Alligator mississippiensis: one gene and its partner. The protein of the gene in region 1 binds, or shares a complex with, the protein of each later gene. Links are inferred from orthologs where the notes say so. Each region holds a gene or a part of one and is shown in the gene's direction. Other genes may lie near its edges. The genes, in order: CFB and CFP.

The links.
Region 2: the proteins of CFB (region 1) and CFP are in contact, whole or in part, in a crystal structure (PDB 7NOZ), measured with the Homo sapiens proteins. The link is inferred for Alligator mississippiensis from reciprocal best matches to the Homo sapiens genes CFB and CFP. Residues at the interface, in NP_001701.2 of Homo sapiens: Glu54, Gln56, Ser78, Thr316, Tyr317, Leu349, Ser351, Met394; in NP_001138724.1 of Homo sapiens: Arg329, Arg330, Asn331, Lys333, Pro341, Met420, Val421.

The regions. Positions count from the first base shown.
Region 1 is NC_081834.1:62,562,877-62,573,731, reverse strand, and holds the start of CFB (complement factor B), read left to right. Parts: upstream 1-5,637; 5' UTR 5,638-5,897; coding exon 5,898-5,961; intron 5,962-6,743; coding exon 6,744-6,959; intron 6,960-7,671; coding exon 7,672-7,857; intron 7,858-8,276; coding exon 8,277-8,450; intron 8,451-9,062; coding exon 9,063-9,158; intron 9,159-9,392; coding exon 9,393-9,529; intron 9,530-9,681; coding exon 9,682-9,820; intron 9,821-10,246; coding exon 10,247-10,399; intron 10,400-10,855. Other genes in the region: complement C2, read left to right, coding at 957-1,097, 1,197-1,288, 1,611-1,722, 2,657-2,804, 2,985-3,061, 3,298-3,389, 3,818-3,956, 4,198-4,247 and 1 more.
Region 2 is NC_081831.1:27,689,965-27,700,866, forward strand, and holds the start of CFP (properdin), read left to right. Parts: upstream 1-6,364; 5' UTR 6,365-6,476; coding exon 6,477-6,549; intron 6,550-7,095; coding exon 7,096-7,240; intron 7,241-7,986; coding exon 7,987-8,150; intron 8,151-9,540; coding exon 9,541-9,714; intron 9,715-9,877; coding exon 9,878-10,075; intron 10,076-10,362; coding exon 10,363-10,536; intron 10,537-10,902. UniProt on the Homo sapiens protein: A positive regulator of the alternate pathway (AP) of complement. It binds to and stabilizes the C3- and C5-convertase enzyme complexes. Inhibits CFI-CFH mediated degradation of Complement C3 beta chain (C3b).

The DNA.
Region 1 (10,855 bases):
GCACCCCAATCCCATTCTAAGCACCCCAATCCCAGTTTTGGTTGCCCCCAACTGCAGTCCTAAATACTGCAATGCTAGTTTTGGGTGCCTTGAATGTAACTCTAGGTGCACTCACACAGATTTTAGGTGCCCCAGTTGCTGTTGTAGTTGCTCCAACCGCAATCCTAGATACTTAGATATTAGTTCTGGGTGCCTTGACCATGCTTCTAGATGAAGTAACTCAGGTGCTTCATCCACTGTTCTTGGTGGCCCAATACTGGTCCTTGATACCTTGACACTTGTTATGGGTGCCTTGACTGCTGTTTTAAATGCCCCCAATCCCAGTCCTAGGTGCCCCATCCTTGGTAAGGTGCCCCAACCCCAGCTCCAGATACCACAACACTAATTAGGTATGTCTTAACTGTGATTATAGATGCTCCAATCCTAGTTCAAGGGGGCCCCAACCCCAGGTCTAAGTGTTTCAACCCTAATTCTGGACACCTTGACTGTGGTTTTAAGTACATCGACACCAGTTCTACGTGCCCCAACACCCATTCTAGGTGCCCAAATCCTGGGTCTAAGTACCACAACCACTTCCAGGTGCCCCAGCCCAATTCTACGTCTACCAATCCTGGTTCTAGGTGTGCTAAATGCCTCAACATGAGTTCAGTGTGCATTGACCATGGTTCTGGGTGCCCCCAATCCCAGTTCTAGGTACCTCAATGCTGGTTCCTACCACCTTGACTGTGGTTTTAGGTACATCCACACCAGTTCTAGCTGCCCCAACCCCATTGTAGGTGCCCCAAACCTTGTTCTAGGTGCCACAACCCCAGTCCCAGGTGCCCCACTGCCTACCCCAAGCTTCAGCAAGTTCCCAAATGCCCCCATGCCATGGAACCCACCTTTCCCAACATCCCTTCCCATGGTGCCTGGGCCTAGTGGGGCCTAGGTGCACCAACACCTGCCCTGTCTCTCAGACATCTATGCCTTTGGAGTGGGGCAGACGGATGTGGAGTGGGAAGACCTCAACGCCATTGCCTCCAAGAAGATTGGGGAGCAACATGCCTTCAAGCTCAATGGCCCTGTGGAGCTCCGCACTACCCTGGACAGCATCTTGGGTATAGAACTGCCCCCCCTGGGGGGCAGATCCCAGATCCCCTTCTCCTCCTGGGGCTGAGGAGAGGGGTCGGAGCTGACCCCACCCCCTCTCTCTCCAGATGTGAAGAGCATCGGGGAGGTGTGTGGACTCGGGAACCACTCAGAGGGTGCCACAGCCCAGCAGATGAACCCCTGGCACGTGGTCATTAGGGTAAGGGGGACCCCGGATGCCTGGGTTCCCTATGTCCTACCCCCCGCCCCCTGAAGGCTTCAGATGGGCCCCAGCCTGGATGTCTGGGTTCCCTACCCTGTCCCAGGTCCTCCTACCTACCCAGAGGCAGTGCTGTTCAGACACCTGGGTCCCCTACCCCATCCCAGAGCCCCCACCTACCTAAGGGCTGGCCAGTGCCACCCGGATTCCTGGGTCTCACACCCAGTGCTCCCTGGGCACCTGGGTTCTCCAGGAAGTGGGGGACAGGCCCTGGACACCAGGGTCCCCACGGTGGTTGACCTGGACCCCCTGGACCCTGCAGCCAGAACGGGGGGAGTCATGCCGGGGGTCACTGGTGGCCGACCGCTGGGTGCTGACAGCTGCGCACTGCTTCAACAATGTGCAGAACACCAAGCTCTGGAGGGTCAACATAGGTAAGGGACCCAGGCATCTGGGAGCCTCCCAACTCTCTCCCTCCCCACAGTCTCCACTCCCCACCCAGGGAACCCAAGTGTCCAGTAGGAGTGGGAAAAAAGGTCCCCTGGAACCCCCCCGGATCAGGATCAGGCCCCACCACAGTGACAATCAGGCCACCACAGGTCAGGATCAGGGACCATCATGGGTCAGGATCAGGCCGGGGAGCCTGGGGGAGTGGGCGCTGGACACCCAGTTCAATCTTGTCTTGGGGGTGGGGGGCAGATGCTGACTCATGATGGGCCTGATCCTGGTGGGGTGCAATCCTGACCTGTGGGAGGATAGGACCCTTGCAGGAGGTTGGGGATGGGGAGGGAGGCAATTCTGGACTGTGAAGTGGCCCAATTCTGACCTGGAGAGGGCCCAATCCTAGCTGGGGCCCCATCCTGGCTGGGAAGTCCCAATTCTGACTGGGGGGTGGGCTGATCCTGCCTGTGAGGCCCTGATCCTGACTTGGGGGTCCTGGCTGTAGGGGAGCCTGATCCTGACCCATGATGGGCCCTGATTCTGACCTGGGGACCCCATCCTGGCTGTGTTGGGGTCCAATTCTGACAGGGAGGCCCCAGTCCTGGATGTGGGGGGCCCAATCCTGACCTGCGGGGGCCCAACTTTGACTGTTGGGAGGAGCCCAATCCTGACCCACGACAGTCCCCGATCCTGGCTGTGGGGTCCAATCTTGACCAGAGAGCCTGATCCTGGCTGCAAGAGGCCCAACCCTGACCTGTGGGGGCCCGATCCTGGCTGTTGGGGAGGGGGTTCCCAATCCTGACCCATGATGGGTCCTGATCCTGACCTGTGGGGGCCTGATTTTGGCGGAGGGGGCCCAATACTGATCCATGATGGGCCCCAATCCTGGCCGGGGTGGGCTCAATCCTGACCTGGGGGCCGCGACAGGTTCCAAGGATATCCAAATTGCGCAGCGCTTCGACCACCCGCAGTACAACGTCCGGGCCAAGGTGGACCAAGGCATCCCTGAGTTCTATGACTATGACCTCTCCCTGCTGCAGCTGGAGAGACCCGTGCACTTTTCCGCCACCATCAGGTGTGGGGGGCATATGAAGGGGTGGGGCTTAGAGAATGGGGTTTGGACATAGAGTGTGGGCGGGGCATAGAAAGTGAGGGGTGGGGCTTAGTGCAGGGCATAGAGGTAAGGGTTGGCTTAGAGACTGTGGGTGTGGCTTGAAGATGGGGCATGGCCATAAGTATGAGCCCCACCCCCCAGGCCGATCTGCCTGCCCTGCACCAAGGAGGCGAACCGAGCCCTGAGGAAACCAGTGAGGGCGACCTGCAAGGACCACGGTGGGTGCAGAGAACCCAGGCGTCCAGGCGCCCACCCCGCTGCTTCCAGACCCCATCCCCATCCCGGGCATCCAGGCTCCCAAGCTCCTTCCACTCCTATCCCCCAGCCCCAACCCTGTGCAGAGAACCCAGGTGTCCGGGCTCTCCTGGGCATCCCCATGTCTCACCTCTGGCATGGGGTGGGGGTCCGTCGCGGGGTCCTGACATTTCCATCTCTCCGTCCGTCCATCCGGCAGAGGTAGAACTGCTGAGGCAGGCACGGGTCCCGGCCCAGTTCATCTCTCTGGACAATGAGCGCCTGAGCGTGCACATCAAGACCAATGAGATGGTGAGCGACCCAGGCATCTGGGAGGGGAGGGACCTAGGTGTCTTGAGCGGGAGCAGTTCCAGCATCTGGGTGGGGTGGGACCCAGGCACCCAGGCTCCTACAGCTCCCTCGCTAGAGTGAACCCTGGTGTCCGGGTGGGTGGCAACTCTGGTGTCCAGGCAGGTTGAAACTGAGGCATCAGAGCAAGGGGAGAACCCAAGCATCCGGGCTCTCACAGCCCCCTTGCTGGAGGGAACCCAGGCAGCCGGGTCAGGGGAAACCCAGGCATCTGGGAACCCTGGCGTCCAGGCAGGTGGGGGAAACCCAGGCATCTGGGCTCCCACAGCCCCTTTGATGGAGGGGAACCTCAGTATCTGGGCAAAGGGGACTTAGGTGTGCAGGCAGAAGGGCACTCTGGCACACGGGTGCTCACCCCTGTCCCCCCACAGTGGGCACGCTGCACAGAGGGAGCAGTGCAGCCAGGGACGCTATATGCAGGCAAGGCAAACGTATCGGATGTGGTCACGCAGCGCTTTCTCTGCTCCGGCCCTGAGAGCACCGGCGAGCCTGAGGCCTCCACCTGCAAGGGTCAGCAGGGCATGCTAGGAAGAGGCGGGGCAGGGGGAAGGGAGGAACATACTGGGAAGCGGAGCAGGGCATGGGCCAGAATGAGGCATGCTGGGAAGGTGGGAGTCCCTGAGCAAGGCATGCTGGGATAGTGGCACCAGTGGGGGTGGGGCTGGGGGGGAGGGCACTAGGCCCTGCCCCCTGGCCCATAGGGGCAGGGCCTCTTGGCCCCCCCCCAGGCCTCAATTTCCCCTCCCCGCAGGTGAGTCCGGCGGGTCCTTGTTCGTGGAGAAGAAGATGAGGTATTTCCAGGTGGGTGCAGCCCCCGCACTGGCCCGGACTCCTGGGTCCCCTGGGCGGGGAGGGGGAGAGGTCAATGCCTGGGTCCCTCACCCTGCCCCCGCCTGGTCCTGCAGGTGGGCGTGGTCAGCTGGGGCACCTACAACCCGTGTGCCCAGAGTCGCCCTGACAACCAGGGGCGGATGCAGAGGAAGCCACCGCCCCACAGGCACCATCCCCGCGACTTCTACCTCAGCCTCTTCCAGACCCAGGATTGGCTGCGGGAGCACCTCAGCCCCGCCCTCCACTTCCTGCCCCCGGCCTGACCCCTCGCCCCTGACCTCCACCATCCCAGCATGCCCCGGGGAATGGCCCCCATCGCTGCCATCCCAGCATGGCCTGCTGAGAAGACTTCCCGCTGCCCAGCATGCCCCGGAGTGGGTGCCCCCCATCAACGCCATCCCAGAGACTCCCAGCATATTGTGCTGTAGAGACCCCTGACATCCCTTCATGGGCCAGGGCACGGGCCCCCACTGCCACCATCCCAGCATGCCCTGCTGTAGAGACCCCCAACATCCCAGCATGCCCTAGAGTGTGGGGCCCTCACCCCTGACATCCCAGAATGCCTTGCTCCAGACACAGCCGTGGCCTGGCCAGCATATCTCTCCCCAAAATCCCAGGGCCCGACCCAGCATCCTGTGCTCTGCTCCAATGGCCCACAGTCCTTTGCGCTCAGTCCCTTCCCAGCATCCCGTGCTGCTGATGGAACAATAAAGTCCTGGTGTCAAGACAGAACTTCATTGTGGTTGTTGGCCTGTGCTCATGCTGCGAGCTTTTCCCTGACAGTGCCCTGAGGCTGCTAGCTTCCTGTAACAGTGCCCTGAGGCTTTGAGCTTCCCCCGACAGGTGCCCCGAGGCAGCGAGCTTCCCTGTAACAGTACCCCGAGGCAGTGAGCTTCCCTGTAACAGTGCCTTGAGGTGGTGAACTTCCCTTCGCAACAGTGCCCCAAGGTGGGGAGCTTTTCCCTGACAGTGGCCTAAGGCTATTCACTTCCCCCCGACAGTGTCCTGAGGTGGCGAGCTTCCCTCTGGCAGTGCCCTGAGGCAGGGACCTTGTCCCTGATAGTGCCCCTAGGCAGCGAGCTTCCCCCTGACAGTGCCCCAGGTGCAGGGTTTACGACCTCCACCAGACAAACACAGTCTGAACTTCAGACCCCGTGGGCTGCGTGTCAGGGGGAGGGTTCTTTGGCAGGGGGTCTGGGTCCTGGGCAGGGTGCCTGGACACCTGGGTTCGCTCCACACCCTGTTCCAGGGAATGCAGGTGTTGGCCGGGGCAACAGGGAAGTAGCAACCAATGGAGGGGTTGCGGGGGGGTTGGGCCGCACCCTTTGCCTCCCCCCTGTCTCTTCTTCCCAGAACTCACCTGCTTCCCCCCCTCCCTGGGGTGACCCTCCCCTCTGTCCCGATGCCTGGGTTCTCTCTGCATCCCCCCCGCCCCTTCCTCTGCAAGATCCCCTCCCCACACCCTGCGGGGAATCCCCCCTGTCCTCCCCAGAGCTATTTCCCAGAAGGGGGGGTGACGCAAGAGCAGGGCTGCCCCCCCTCCAGGCTTCCCTCCCCAGCCCCAACCCAGCCGGACAGACGAGAGAGCTGCGGAGGAAGAGGACGGACAAACGGACAGACATGGGCCCGAGGGCACTGATCCGGATCTTGGCCTGCCTCCTGCTCCTGGTCCCGGCTGGCTCCGGTGGGTGGCCCCCACCTGCCTCACAGATCGGGCTGGATCGGGACCTCTCCCTACCCCCAACCTTGCCATGGGCTTCCCTGGGTGCTGGGCATGCGACCAATGCTGGGGTGGGTGGAGAGGGCCAAGTGGAACAACCCCCCCCCCACACACACACACTCACAACCCTCAGGATCAGGCCTGGATTGGGACCCTCAGTAGGGTCTGGATCCTTCCACCCCCACCCCGACAATGTCCTTCCTGGGCCTCACAATGCGACCAGGTCTGGGGTGGGGCAAAAGCCAAGTGGAACAATGCCTCCCCCAAGCCACAGGATCAGGCCCCCCAGCCCTCATGCTCAGGATCAGGCCCAGATTAGGCTTAGATTGAGACCTTCAGCCCCCTCCCAGGATCCTGCCTCCAGGATCAGACCCACATCGGGACCCCTACCCCCTAGGACTGGACCCAGATTGGGACCCCTAGCCCTCCCCAGGGTTGGGACCCACTACCCCCAGGATCAGACCCATATCGGGGCCCCCAGACCTTCACAATCAGGCCTGGATCAGCACCCCCAGCCCCTCTCAGGATTGTTCCTGCCTGTCCCTAGGATCAGGACCCCCTCAGCGCCTCCCCCAGAATCAGGCCCTCTGCCTCAGGATCAGGCCATATGAGGACCCCCTGCCCCCCCGGACCAGGCCCCCTGCCCCCAGGATCGGGGCCCCTAACCAGCAGGTGGCCTAGGATCGAGTTCCCACCAACCCTCCAGGATCAGGCCCACATGACCCTGGCCATGCTGTGTCCCCCAGGGGCGGCAGTTGCAGCGGAGGGCAGCTGCGACCCGGAGGGGGCCCCGATCCTGGGGGGCCAGGCGGAGGTGGCAGATAGGGGCCGATGGCTGCGCTACATATGCCCAGAGGGGAAGTACCCGCACCCCGTAGCCCTGCGCGCCTGCCGCAGCAACGGCATGTGGAGCCCTCTACGGGACACCCAGAACCGGGTTGTGGCCAAGGCTGAGTGCCGAGGTGGGTCTGGGTGGGACCTGGAGGCAGGGCTGGGGTGATTTGGTGGGGTGGAGTCTGTCTTGGGGGGTCTGAGGTCACCAGTGGGGCTGAAGAGGTCACTGAGAGGAGCTGGGAAGTCCTTAGGGATTTAGGGGGAGTCTCAGGGGGTCATTGGGATGGTCTGGCGGGGTTAGAGTCACCAGGGAGAGCTGCGGGGACTGGAGGAGGCAGAGAGGTTTTGTGGGAATTGGGGAGAGTCTGGGTTTCCTGAGAGGGTCTGGGGGATTTTGGAGGGTCTCAGGGGGTCTGGAGTCACTGGGAGGGCTGGAGGGGTTGGGGGGGCTCTGAGGGTGTCACTGGGAGGAGCTGGGGGTCCTCAGGGATTTAGGTGGGTTTAAGGGGGGGGCTGAGATCAGCAAGGGGGGATCCTGGGGGATTTTAGGGGAGTTTCAGGGGGTGCTGTGGGGGATTTGAGGAGGGTCTAAGGGTGTCTGGGGGGAGTCTCTGGGATCACTGGGGAGGCTGGGGGCATTGGGAAGGGTCTGTCGGGGGGAGACTGGAGGACGGGGATGCAGGGCCAGCCAGAAAGACTGGGGGGTCGGGAGGATCTCAGGGGTGTGGGGGTCCTGTGGAGGGGCTGGGGGGTCCTGAGGTTGAAGGGACCCTGCAGAGAGGCTGGGCGGGGTCCTGGGGGGATCAGGAGTCCCAGCTGCCCCTAACCCCTGCCTCACAGTGGTTCGGTGCCCGGGACCGGTGGAGTTCCTGCATGGCACGTGGTGGCCACGCCAGGCCTGGTACAACATGAGCCAGGAGCTGACCTTCTCCTGCTTTGACGGCTTCACCCTGAGTGGCTCTGGTGTCCGCACCTGCCTGCCCCAGGGCACCTGGAGCGGCACCCCTGCCGTCTGTGATGATGGCGGTGAGTCGGGGGGGTGGGGGGATGGGGCAGGGGCACCTGCCAGCCCAGACAGACACCCTGCCTTGCACAAGCAGGCACTGGCCGTAGCCACACGGACCAGCAGACACCAGGCCACAGACAGACAGATGGATGGACAGACCCCAGCCCTAGACAGACAGACGGATAGATAGCCCCAGTCAGACAGACAGAAGGACAGATGGACCTTGGCCCCAGACAGTGGTCCCAGGCAGGCAGACAGCCAGCCACGAGTCCCAGACAAATGGGAAGACATCCACCCTGGATGGACAGACAGACCCTGGCGCCAGAGGAACAGACATGGCGGGCGGGGCGTGAACAGATGGAGAGCTGGGTGGGAGGCCAGGGGGGAAACTGGATGCACCTCTGACCCTTGACCTCTGACCTGTGCCCTGTCCCCCCAGGGGGCCACTGTCCAGCGCTGGGGGTTCCAGTGGGGGCCACTGTATCGGGCGGGGGCTTGCGGGCTGAGGACGAGGTGCAGTACCGGTGCCGGTCTGGCCTGACCCTACTTGGCTCCGCACATCGCACCTGCCTAGAGGACCGCACCTGGAGTGGGACACCCCCCCTCTGCCGCAGTGAGTGCTGGGGGGCTGGGAGGGGCTAGAGGGGTTCTGGGGGTCACCAGAGGGGAGGTTGAGGGGGTCTTGGGGGATTTGGGGAGGGTCTAAGGGGGTCTTGGGGAGACTGGGGGGTGATAGGATCACCAGGAGGATCTGGGGGGACCCCAGTGGATTTGGGGAGGGTCTGTGGGGTCTTAAGGGGGCTGGGGGGTTTGGGGGAGAATCTGAGGTCACAGAGGGTCTGGGGGACTTTGAGGGACCTCAGGGGGTTTTGGGGAGTCTGGGGTCACTGTGGGGGCTGGGAGCATTCAGTGGTGGGGTCTGAGGTCACTGGGGGGTGGTCCTGGAGGGGCTGGGGTGAATGGGGGGGTGTGAGCACTCAGGTGATCTGGGGAGGCACTGGAGGGGTCTTGGGGGGGCCTAGAGAGACCCTGAGTCCCTGGGGAGGCAGGGGGTCTCCTCTGCCACCATCAACACCTGGGGGGGTGAGGGGACCCCCCCTTTGGCACTGTACCTGGGGTGGGCTGGGAGATCTCCCCAAAGGCAGGAGGCCGGGGGGGATCCCAGAGGTGGGGGCAGGGCTGGGAGGGGCCATGCTGACTACCCCCCTCACACTGTGACCCCTAGCGCCGTACGCCTATGACACACCCCGTGACGTGGCTGCCGCCTTCCTGGCCTCCCTGTCCGAGACCGTGGAGAAGGCCGAGGCCAACACCTCCCTCAGTCAGTTTGGGGGAGAAGGGACTGGTTTGGGGGGGCAGGGCTGGAGGGAGGGGGGTAATTTTAAGGGTGTAGGGGGTGAGGGAGGGCCAGGGGTGGTTGGGGGCAGGGCTGCATTGTGGGGGGTGGGGTCAGGATAGCGGGGAACCACGGGTCTCTAGGAAGGGTCTGGGTGCCAGGCTGAGGCTCTCCAGGTTTGTGGGGGGTAGCCACCTGCCTTCTGACCCTTGACTGCAGGTGACAGCCAGAAGCGGCGCATCCGCATTGAGCCAGGTGGCACCATGAACATTTACCTGCTGCTCGATGCCTCTGACAGCATCGGCACCGACAACTTCACCCGCTCCCGCGACGCTCTCAGCCAGCTTGTCGAGAAGGTGGGCCCCCCTGACTTGCTGGGAGCACCCCAGGATCCCCCAAATATGTCCTCCCCTTCCACCCATGGCACCTCAAAGCCATGCTGTGCCTCCCCCAACCCAGTATCTGCCCTTCCCCCACCACTGCCCTCCCTGATGCCATGCCCCCCCAGGTCTCCAGCTACGGGGTGTTCCCACACTACAGCCTCATCACCTTTGCCAGCGAGCCCCACGTGGTTATCAGCACCCAGGACGCCCGCAGTGCCGATGCTAACTGGGTGCGTGAGCAGCTTGAGGGCCTCAAATACAAGGGTGAGCAGGGGTGTGGAAATCCCAGGCTGGCATGGGGGAGAGGGGCAGAGGCAGGGCAGAGACGGGAGCAGGAGCTGGGGCTGGAGGGAGTAGTGGTGCAAGAACCAGGGCTGGGGCAGGGACAAGAGCTGAGGATGGAAGGGGGTGGGGTGCAAGAGCTGGGGTCAAAAAGGGGCTGGGGGACAAGACTGGAAAAAAGGGAAGACCATAGAGCAGCCAGGAGAAGAGAGACCAGAGTGTCCCTAGTGCCTACACCTCTGTGTGGTGCTATGGGGCCACCTGAAGGTGGAGGGTGGGACTGCACCCAGCCAGATCTGCCCCCTGGCCCCTCCCACCCCCTGTTCCTGCCCCACTCAGCCCCCAGGGGAGACAGAGAGGGGGTCTGTGACCACCCAGGCGAGGCCCTGACCCCTTATTGCCCCCCAGACCATGCGTACAAGGCAGGCACCAACACTCGGGCAGCACTGGAGGCCGTCTACCACATGCTGGTGCAGCAGGAGGAGGAGCAGCTGCGGCATGGCCCCGCCCCAGCCCCTGTTGTCAACTCCACCCGCCACGTCCTGATCATCATGACCGATGGTGAGTGGGGCCAGACCCCTGGGACCCACCGATCACCCCCTGGACTCTCTAGAGCCTCCTTGGGCCCTCTGGCACCCTGAGACCTCAGTGACAGCCCCTGAACCTCTCCAGACCCATCCTGTGCCCCCTGACACCTTCCAGACCTCTCCACTATCCCCGAGACCCAACAGGCACCCCATCTCCCTTGGCACTCCCTGGACCCCCCCCAACCCCAGTACCCCTTGGATCCCCTCCATAACCTAGCCCCCCTGATCCCCACAATAACCCTTGGGTCTCCCTTATACCCCAGATCCCCCTGGACCTCCCCTGGACTGTCAAACTCTCTCTTGCCCCAATAACTCCTGGACCCTGCCATACCCCATGGACACCTTCTGGATCCCCCAAGCCTCCCCTGACTTCCCCCCAGACCTTCTAACTCCCCTCAGACACCCCTGACACCCCTACCCCACCCACGGG
Region 2 (10,902 bases), on another chromosome or scaffold:
TGTTTTGGCTGGGTCAGATGTGCAGCAGCATGTCAGCCATGTTTGTTTTGGCTTTGGAGGGGGCGTCAGCCATGTTTGTTTTGGCTAGGGCCAGGTTGGTCATGTTTTGTTTTGGCTTCAGGAGGGTGTGTCGGTCATGTTTGTTTTGGCTGGCATCGCTATCAACTGTTTATTTTGGGTGGGCAGGTCATGGGCCACCCTTGACTGGAGAGGCTACATAGCATTAGCATCAGCCATGTTGGGAGCAGGGGCGCCTGCCATGTTTCTTTGTGCCCCTGTCCATTGCCGTGTTTACAGCAGATGGAGACATCCAGATCTCCCTATTTTGTCCCTTGATTTCCTTCCTGGGGGGTCAGAAGTTGTCAGGGTGGAAGTCCCACCTCCCCTTACTTTTTTTATTCCTGGAGGTCACCATGGAAACTTTCTATTCCCTGCTTGTCGCTATAGAAACCGTGGAGGAGGAAGCCCCACCCCTTTTTATTGCAAGGGGACCTCTGTGCCAGTGGTTTTGTTGATTTATTTCTTGACAATCAGTTGTTACCATGGAGATGGCCCACCAGGAAATCCTGCCCCCTCCAGCCCCACCTCTTGCCTCCTGGCACCTTTTAGAGCTTGGGTCCCTGTTACTGGCTTCCTGTCTGTTACTGGAGAAACAGCTGAGGCAGAAGTCCTGCCTCAAGGACTCTCGTGCTTCCCACTTGCTTCATTGCTGTGGTAATGGTGAAAGAGGAAGCCTTGCTTTGTTTCCCCCACATTGTCCCCTGCCTGCGGTTTAGGGCAATGCTTTCTGTCACCACAGAAATGGCAAATGAGGAAGTCCTGCCCTCACAAAAGAGGAAGTCTTGCCTTTTCTCCTTCCCCCTTACAGCCTCCCAGGATTGCCCTGAGACTGCAAGATTTATAATACATGAGGATTAGTGGGGAAGAATTTGCCTTGGCTGACTTTCACAACTCTTGGGTAGGTGTCATTCAGGCTTTTCTTTTCCTCCGGCAGACATGCTGAGACTTTCTTCACAGCTCTCACCAGACCAGGAGCTCCTTCTGCCTTTCCAGCAATGGTCAGGGATGCGGCTAACCAAAGCATCAGCCTTTTTCCAGCCTCTCTGGGAATCGCTTTCACCACCTTCACATGGCTCTTGGGATGTCTTTTGGTCCCCACTACTTGTCCTCAGGCTCTTTGCTGGGTGCCTGTGCCAGCTGCGAATCTGCCTCCGATGCCTTTAGCTTCCCTTTTCAATATGCTATGTTTTCTCATTTTGAAGAGAAACTTCCCGCTATCTCTCCTTTTCTCACTCCAAGTTGCTTGATCTTTTCCCTTTCACTTAGAAGGCACCTGGGCCCTTTATGGGGACAGGCTTTGACTTCAATTTCTTTTGCTTTCTCTTGAGGTCAGTAATCCCAGCATTTCTTTTTTCTGGTCTTGCTGCTTTCCCCCTCTTTCTTCTGTCCCACTACTTTTTCTTCTCCATTTTAAGGAGGAAAATCTCCTTGCTTTGAAAGCCTCCGTCCCCTCCTGGCACCGTGGCCCTGCCGGCTTCAGGACCCCACACCTGTCTTGGGTAGAGTGGAGAGATTGTAATCTGTGTTCTCAGCCCAGAGTCACCCGGGGTGCACGTGTGTTGCTCTGTCACCCTTTCGCGGTCTCCTTTCTGTGCTAGACCTGTCCTGGGAAAGGGCTGGAAACCCTTTATTTATTGCTGCCTGTTCCCAGAGTCCTTTTTATTGTGGGGTGGGGGTCCTTGAAGACCCAGCCCCTTAGGCAGCTGCTGGCTGCCTGACTTTTTTGGGCTTTTATATGATATAATATCCATCTATTTTTTAACAAGGGGGGTGGAGCTTAGCCCGGATTAACCCAGCCACTGGCTGGGGGTGTCTTACCCCAGGGTAAGTTGGGGGGAGCAGAGAAAGGTATTTTTCAGTCATAAGAAACTTTGCACTGCCCCATGGGGGCTTTGTTTCTTCTTTTCTGATGCATCAAGCACTTTGGGGGGGGGGGGTTCATATGTGTTCCCAAGGGTCACATGTGTGCCCAAGAGTCACAAGGAGAAATGGAGGGGCAGGGTGGGGGGGGATACATGCGTGGTGCTGGGCTGAGACAGTCCAGGGCGTGCACCATGGGTAAGGCATGGGAGGGGAGCTTTCTCCCTGCATGGGAACTATGTGTCAGCTGCGGACAGGGCATGGTAAAGTGCATCTGACCCGTGGGTGATGGACATGTAAGCTGGGGGGGGAGGGGGACTGCATGGCCCACCCATGTGAGGTGCGGGTAAGATCTGTGTAGCAATCATGGACATGATACGTGTGAGTAAAATACATTTGAGCCTACCTGCTTTGTCAACTGTGAGGAAAACATGAGGCAGACATGTGAGGGGTAAGGAAAATGTTTGTGAAGTGGGGGTATCACATGTGTGAGCCATATATAAGTTGTGGGTACAATGCATGTGAATCATGGGTAAAACACACGCAAACTGTGTTGTAAAACACACATGATCTGTGTATACACTATGGGCAAAATGTATATCAATTGGGAAACATGTCAAACACATGTGAGGGATGGGTGACGCACACACCTGAGCTGTGTGTCAACTGTAGGCATGAAGCTTGAGTAAGATGTGTAAATTGTGTGTGAGCCGTGAGGCCATGTATACATGTAAGCCATGTATAAACTGTGGGTTAAACCCATGTCCATTGTGGGTTTAACATGTAAGCCATGGTTAAACCATGGGGAATGTGTGTGATTTGTGAGGAAAACGTGTCAAACACGCGTGAGCTGTGTGTAACACATGGGTTCAACACATGGGTTGTGGTTAAAACCCATGTCAGTTGTGGGTATGACATGGAAGCCATGAATAAACCATGGGTTAACGTGTGTGTCATGAGTTGAACATGAAGCCATGTGGAAAGCTTGGGTCAAACGCATGTAAGCTGGAAGGTGAATGCATGTTGCCACGTGTTAAAAAGACCCTTCCTCAGACAACTGCAACAAATTCTGAAGCACATGGAAGCCATGAGCAAATATGCCAAGCCATGGGGATATCATGTGTTCTCTGGGAGGAGAACACACTTGGAGCCCAGCTGAAGAACACATGGAGCCCATGTGTGGGCATGAGAAACATGTCACTTCTCTGTGGAGCACACATGTGAACAGTGAGCAGAAACCACATGGGGAACAGTGAGTAAAGAAAGGCATGTAATGTATATACAACCAGGTCACGCCACACACACTACATGGAAACGATTTGCCAGAAACGTGTAGAAACCATGCAGAACCCAGGAGGGTGAAGCACGTGGTGAATAATGAGTAGCATACATGGAACGTGTACAGAATGGATCAAAACATGACAGACAACCCATGGAAACCATGAGGTAAAACGTGTGATACAGAGCATTGCATGCGTCATGAAGCAGAAGACCTGTAACATACATGTGAAATGTGTCATATCCACTTAACCAGGTGTGTGACCCAGGCACAGGGCCTAGTTCGGTTTCCATTGCCATGACAACAGACTAGGCTGCAGCTCCAACCTAGTGGATTTGTGGGCATGGGTGGGGGGAGGGGCTGAAGGGTATCAATGCAGCTGCGGGGGGGCAGTAGGTCTGGGGGGCAATCAGTGGCAACATTGGAACAGAGCCAGGGAGGGGGGCACAGTCAGTCAACACTGCCACCAGGTTGCTAGGGAGGAATCTGTTGTTGCCATGAACACCATGGATGGGCCATTTGCTATGGTGGGCTCCATGCTTGCTACAAAGAGGCTGTTACTGTGGAGACTGGTGGGGCTACATGGTTGCCAGGGAGGAGGATGGGGTTGCCAGGGGGAATTCCATGGTTGCCCCAGAGAAGGTTGATATTGCTAGGGAGAATTCCAAGGGGTTGCTAGCAGGATATGGCTGCTATGCAGCCCGGGGGGGGGAGTTGGGGGGTAGACGCACGAAATTCTGCTGTTAACCGGCATGACGTGATTGTCATGGGATCCCATGGCTGCTGGGGAGGATATAGTTCCTCCGCCCCTGCCCAACCCTCCCTCCAGCTAGCTCTAGGGCTCCTCCCCTTCCTCCCTCTCCCGGCTCCAGATATGGGCAGCTGAACCCAGGCATCCATCTAGGGGCAGCTTTTTCTACTCTTCCCAAGGGCCTAAGGGGAACCTAGAGCAGGGTGCACTGGGTGCCCATACTCCTGGGTTTTCTGGGAGGGGAGTTGGGGGCTGTGGGGTATGGGAACAGGGCTCTGGGAGCCCAGAGACCTGGGTTATATTGTCTGCAGCGCAGCTGCTGAGGAAGGACCCTGTGTGGGGAACCTTTAAGGGGATGAAATCTGATGCCTCCATTTAGGGGAGGAGCGAGTCAATGACATTGTAGGCCTCAAAGTAATATCATAGGGCCTGGGAATGGGAAACCCCCAACCTGGAATCTTACAGCTGGGGGTAGCCCTGGGATGGGGCCCTGGTGGGGGCTGTCAGTTGGAAGTGAGGGGCACCACAGGAAGTGGGGGGTGCAGGTCAGGAGTGAGGGTCACAGTGGAGTTATGAGGGGTCTGCAGGTCCAGAGTGAGGGGCACCACAGAGTTGGGAGGAGGGGTTGTAGGTCAGGAGTGAGGGGCACTGCAGGGCTGGGGGTCAAACACAAAGGACAGTAGGAGGGGATGTGGGTCAGACGTGAGGGGTACTGGGGGGGCTGCAAGTCAAGATTGAGGGGAATGGGGGGGGCTTCAGGACTGGAGTAAGGGACAGTACAGAGTTGAGAGCAGGGCTCCGTGGGACTATGGGGGCAGGCTTCGGGTCAGGCATGAGGGGCTGCATGGGATTTTGGGAGGGCTGTGGGTTGGGAGTGAGGGGCACTGGAGGGGGGCCTGTGGGTCATGATTGAGTCATAATTTACCCCCCATTCACTGTTCCCTTTTCATGGGGGGGCAGTGAATCTCATGCTGGGAGAGGGCAGGGGGTCCCCTAGAACACCAGGGTCCTCAGGGCCTTTGAACATAGATTTGAGACCCCCTCCACCCCCTCCAAGAAGTGCCCATGTCACTAGGTGGCAGGCCCCACACCATTTAACCCCCCTGGCCTGGGGGTCAGTGAGGAACTCCCCTGGGCCTTGCCCCCACCCCATCTCAGCCACAGGAACCCTATCCCCCCAGCCAGATTTGGGCCCAGCTGGTCTGGTACTAGGCTGAACTCAAGCCTGGTCCTGGTGCCATGACAACTCAAGCCTGATGCCCCTGCCATTGCTCCTGTTCAAGGGAGGCACAGCCCAGTCAGACCAGTTGGGGTCCTCTCAGCTTGGCCTAGTCAGACCAGTTTGGCTCCCAGTCCAACCCAGTCTGACCAGTTCAGCCCCCAGCAACCCCCCCTCCCCCACCCAGGTCAGATTTGGGTCTGAGTGGGGACACTAAACTAGACTGAACTTGGACCTGGTCCTGTTGCTATGGAAACTCAAATCTGTTGCACCTAATATTGCTCCCATTGTGGGGAGAAAGGGAGGCAGGGCACAGTCCAGTCAGGCCAGTTTGGCCCACTCCCAACTTGGCCCAGTCACATCAGTTTGGACCCTAGCCTGGCCCAGTCACATCAGTTCACCCTCCCTCACCCACCCACTTGGCGCCTCTCAGCCTGGCCCAGTCAGACCCGTTCACCCACTTCCCCACCCCCGCTTTGGCTGCTGGCACCACAAGATCAAGTTTCTTTTCCTTGGAAGTCACCAACTTCCTCATTTCTGCACCCACCCTCCCCCTCTTGCCCCCACAGTTCCTGTCCCCCTTCCCTTCCCCCCCTCCCAGCTCTTTCTTTCCTCCTTGGGACCACCAGGGGCCTCGCCCTTCCAAGAAAATCATCCCTGCTTCCCTCTCCTTCCTGGGCCTGGCAGGGACAGACATGGGGCTGCCCTGAAACCAACCCCACACCACCCCCTATCCAGCCTGGGCACTGGGACTAGCAAAACTGGATCTGTGGTGCCCCTCACTCCTGACCTGCAGCTCCTCTCCATGGTGCTTCGCACTCCCAACCTACAGCCCCTTCCACAGGCCTACAGTGACCCTTACCCCTGACCCACAAGCCTCATTCCCCCGCTTAATTGTGCCCCTCACTCCTGACCTGCTGCCTTCTCTGTGGTGCCCCTCACTCTTGAGGCACAGCCCCCACTCCACAATGGTGCTTCACTCCCAACCTATAGCACCCACCCTGCAATACCCCTTACTCCCAACCTGCAGCTTCCCCTTGTGGTGCCCCTCACCTGCAGCCCACCCATCACCCCATGGTGCCTCTTACCCCCGCCCTCCCCGTCACCCCATGCTGCCCTTCACTGTTGCCCTTCATGCTCGACCAACAGTTTCCCACATCATGCTGAGTCAGGCTCTTGGCGACGTCCTGGGTGGGGCGGGGCTGGTGCACATTGCCCTTCTCCTCCTCCCCTGACCAGCTCAGAGGCTGTCTTGGGAGTTGTCTGTGTAGCTGCAGCGTTGGCCTGTTGTCTGTCCATCTGGGTCCATGGATGGTCCATGGACCATGCCCCTGCTCCTGACAGCCGCCTGCTTGGCCTGGGGCCTGCTGCCCCCAGCAGGTACCTGCCTGGTTCCTGGGTTCTTTGTTTCTGTGTCTCCCAGATGCCTGGGTTTTGTGTGTGTGTCCCTCCAGACACCTAGGTTCTGTGTTCTCTGGACACCTGGGTTCTCTGTGCCTGTGTCCACCTGGACTCTGGGGTTCTTTGTATCCCTTCAACTTCTGGGTTCTCTGTCTCTCTGTCCCCTGAAGCCTGGCTTCTCTGTGTCTATGTCGTCCGTCCGTCCCCCCGTCCCCCCCCCCCCACCTTGGTTCTCAGGGAGTCTGTTAACCACCCTCCCACCTTCACCCATCCCCAGACACCTGGGTTCTCTGCATGCCTGTGCCCTACCCGAGATGCCTGGGTTTTCAGTGTGCTCACAGCCCACCTGGAGGCTTGGTTTTCCTGTATGTCCACTACCCCCCAGACACCTGGGTTCCCTGCATGTCAGTGGCCCACCTGGACACCTGGGTTTCCCATGTGCCTCCCCACTCTGCCCCCCCCCCCCCCAGGGAACCTGGGTCCCATGCCTCTCTCTCTTCACCCCCGCCAACTGTGTTCCCTCAGGTGCACAGATCGGGCGGTGCTATGTAGACTTTGCGGATGGTGCCTGCCGAGACCTACTGGGCGAGGGGGTGGCTGAGGTCGACTGCTGCCTCAACCCACACTTTGGCTACCGGACCCAGCCTGACGCACCCTGCCAGGCCTGCGGGTTAGTGACCCCTCCCCTGCCAGGAACCCTCACCACCAGAGCTTTGAGGGGGTCCTTTGTTGGGACTCCACAAAGGACCCCCTCACCCCTGAGACCCCCAAAAGCTACCTTGAGACCCCAAGAGACCTCTGGTCCTGGACCCCCCTGAGAGATACCCCTGACCCCAGAGCCCCCTCCCCCCCCGGTATTCCCCCTGAGGCCCCCTACAGAACCCATCCTTGAGGGCCCCCCCACGTAAGTCTCCCAGCCCCAGAGCCCTCAAGACTCCCCCCTGAGGGAACCCAATCCCCAAGTTCCCTCCAAAGTGACCCTCACAGGATCCCCCCATACAGGACCCCCAGATCCCCCCTTGGAGTCCCCCCTGGACTCCCACAAGATGCTTTTCTGAGAGACCCCCATCCCTATGCCTCCCCCTGAGCCCCATGCCCTTGAGAACCCCCACAGCTCCTCCTATGTTACACCCTGAGGGACCCCCCCAGGACACCAGAAACACCCCACACAGAGCCATCCCTGTGGCCCTAGACCCTCCCAGAGCCCTTTCCAGCCTGGAACCCCCTGAGGGATCTCCCCAACCCCCCCAGGGGCCCTTGATCCCCCATGAGATCCTTCCCCCAAGACACCCCACCCAGAGCTTGCCCCACCCTGTGCTCCCCCCCCCGAAGGGCCTCCACCCCTTTGAGACCCCAGGGGGAGGCCCCCTGTCCTGAGGGCCCTAAACCCCCCTGAGGGGAGTGTGGTGCCCGCAGGCCAGCTGTGTGGGGGGCCTGGTCACCATGGGGTGCCTGCTCAGTATCATGTGGGGAAGGGGCCCAACGCCGCCAGCGCATGTGCCAAGGCCGGGAGGGCTGTGCCAGAGGGCTGCGGCGCCAGCGTGAGGTCCAGGCCTGCACCCCCAGCCCCTGCTGCCCTGGTGAGTTTCTGCATCCCACATGGTACCCCCTATATCACCCCGTACTTTCACTCCCTGTAGAACCTCTATAGCCCCCGCCACCTGCACCCCCTGTAACACTCCCCTACCTTCACACCTATAGCACCACGTAACACCCCATAGTATCCCCTCTCATTATAGCACTCCTACAGCACCCCCCTACCTGCACCCCTTATAGCTCCCCCCTACTTACACCCCTGTAGCACCCCCTGTAAGTCTCTGTAACACCCCCTATAGCACCCTCTGTACCACACCCTGTAGCACCCCTATAGCACCCCACATACCTGCACACCCTAGAGCACCCCCAGCCCCTGCTGCCCCAGGAATTCTGTGCACCTAGCATGGCACTCCCAACCCTGGCACCCCATATAGCACCTCTCCAGTAACTGCTGCCCCGGTAACTGTATACACCCCATATAGGACCTCCCCATAGCACCCCTACAGCCCCCCCCTTGCTGCCCCTAAATCACTGGGGAGTGGGGCAGAGGGAGTGGAAGTGGGTGTCTGGGCAGGGAGTGGCTGGGAGGGTCTTAGAGGGCTGAGGGGTCCATGGGGAGTCTCAGGGCTGAGGGCATCTGTGGAGGTGGAGGGGGCCAGTCAGGGGCTGTGTCTCAGGGCTTTGCAAGACTGTGGGAGAACATGGGGGGGGGGGCTGTGGGGGTCCATGGGAGTGGGTGGGGGTCCAGGGCAGTCTCAGGGCTAGGATGTGGTGAGGGAGTCTGGGGAGGGTCATCCCGGAGATTGTCATGGCTGTGGAGTAGGGGAGACCATGGCAGGATTGGGGCTGTGGGAGGTCCATGGGGGGGCCTCAGGGCTTGGAGCAGGGGCCATAGGGGATCTGGGAACATTTTTGAGGGGGATGTTTGGAGGTGGGAGGGAGTGTGGGAGGAGGCCCATGGGAATGGGGAGGGGCCATAGGGGGCCCTGTGGGAGGGTCTCAGGGCTGGGGGGGGGTCTGTGGGGGTGGTGTCGTGGTGGGAGGGGCTGGGACATCTGCAGGGGTGGGGGACTGTGGGGGGCACTAGGGGGAGTTTGGGAGGGGTTGGGGTGTCCTTGTGGGTTGTCTGGGGGGTGGGAGAGTCTTAAAGGTGTAAGGGGGTGGGAGGTTGGAGGGATCTATGAAGGTGGTCACTGGGGATGGAGGGCCATGGGGAGGGTCCATAGTGTGGGGGGTAATGGGGGTCTGGTGGGGGGGTTCAAAGCTGGGAGAGGGTGGGGGTTTCTGTGGGGTCAGGGTATCTGTGTAGGGTCTGTTGGGGGCTTTTGTGGGGGTCTCAGGGCTGGGAGGGTCTGGGGGATCTATGGGGATGGGCGCCTTGTGAGGGTGGTCTCAGGGGTCTGTGCACCAGCGCTGACCCCCAGTCATGGGCAGTGGTGGGGGGTTGGTCACCATGGTCGCCATGGGGCCCCTGCTCGGTGACGTGTGAGAGTGGGGAGCAGCGCCGCACCCGGACCTGTACGGAGCCCCCACCAGCCTGTGGCGGCGTCTGCCCTCCTGGGTCATCCAGCGAGAGCCGCCCCTGCCGTGACCCCCGGCCCTGCCCCAGTGAGTGACCTTTGTGCTGGGAGCTGGGGATAGAGGGATAGATGGGGGATTGGAGGGATGGATAGACCTATGAATGGATGGATGGGGGGATGTGTTGGGGGCTGGGACCAGGTTTGGGGCATGTGGGGCTGCCCCCTCTCCCCTGACCTCTCTTACCCCCCAGCACATGGATCATGGGGCCCCTGGGGGCCGTGGGGCCCCTGTTCCACCACGTGTGCCCCTGACGGCCCTGGCCCACGGCCCAGTCAGCACCGCCAGCGCCTGTGCAACAGCCCTGCACCCTCCCAGGACCCCCCTGGCCAGGCCTGCCCTGGCCCCAGCACCCAGGACCAGTCCTGCACCAACCTGCCCTTCTGCCCAGGTATGGTGCCCCCAGCTCAGGGCAATTACTGAATAGAACACTACTGGGGGAGGCTGGAAGTTGACCAGCTCTGAGGTGGAATGGCGAAGTGTAACTACCCAGGCAGGGCTGAGATGCAGCCAGCTCTGAGGTGGAAGAGTCAGGGAATGGCTGAGTATAATGCTGCATGGGGAGGCCTGGGAGGTGCCCAGCTCTGAGGTACAACAGTCATATATAACAGCCCGCAGAGAGGCCAGGATGCAGCAGACTCTGGGTGGGGGCAGCATGTGATGCCTATGTCTCCACAGTGGATGGTGCGTGGGGTGCATGGACAGCAGCTGCCCCATGCCCCGTGACCTGCGGGCTGGGGAAGGTGACACAACGCCGGGCATGTGACAGCCCTGCACCCCAGCATGGCGGGACCCCTTGCTCTGGCCCCAATACACAGACAAACATCTGCAACACACACCAGCCCTGTCCAGGTACCACATGTGGGCTGGTCCATACGTGAGCCTGAGAGACCCGGTGTGTATGTTCCCTGGATGTCTGGGTTCTACATATGTGCATGAGAGACCCAGACACCTTGGTCGTGTGTGAGACTGGGACAACTGGGCTGTGTGCGCGCGCCCTGGATATGTGGATTTCCTGTGGGTGTTCCTTAAATGCCTGGGGGAAGGGAAGGAACCTGGACACCTGGGTTCTGTATTGGGGGGGGCACCAAATTAACTCCTCAGGTGCTGAATGTGGGGCTGCCCTTACTGAACACCCATTGGGCCCACAGCAGAGGGTGGGGGTATGTGTGTGGGGAAGCCCCCTCTGCCCCCATTAACTCCTCACTGCCTGCCCAG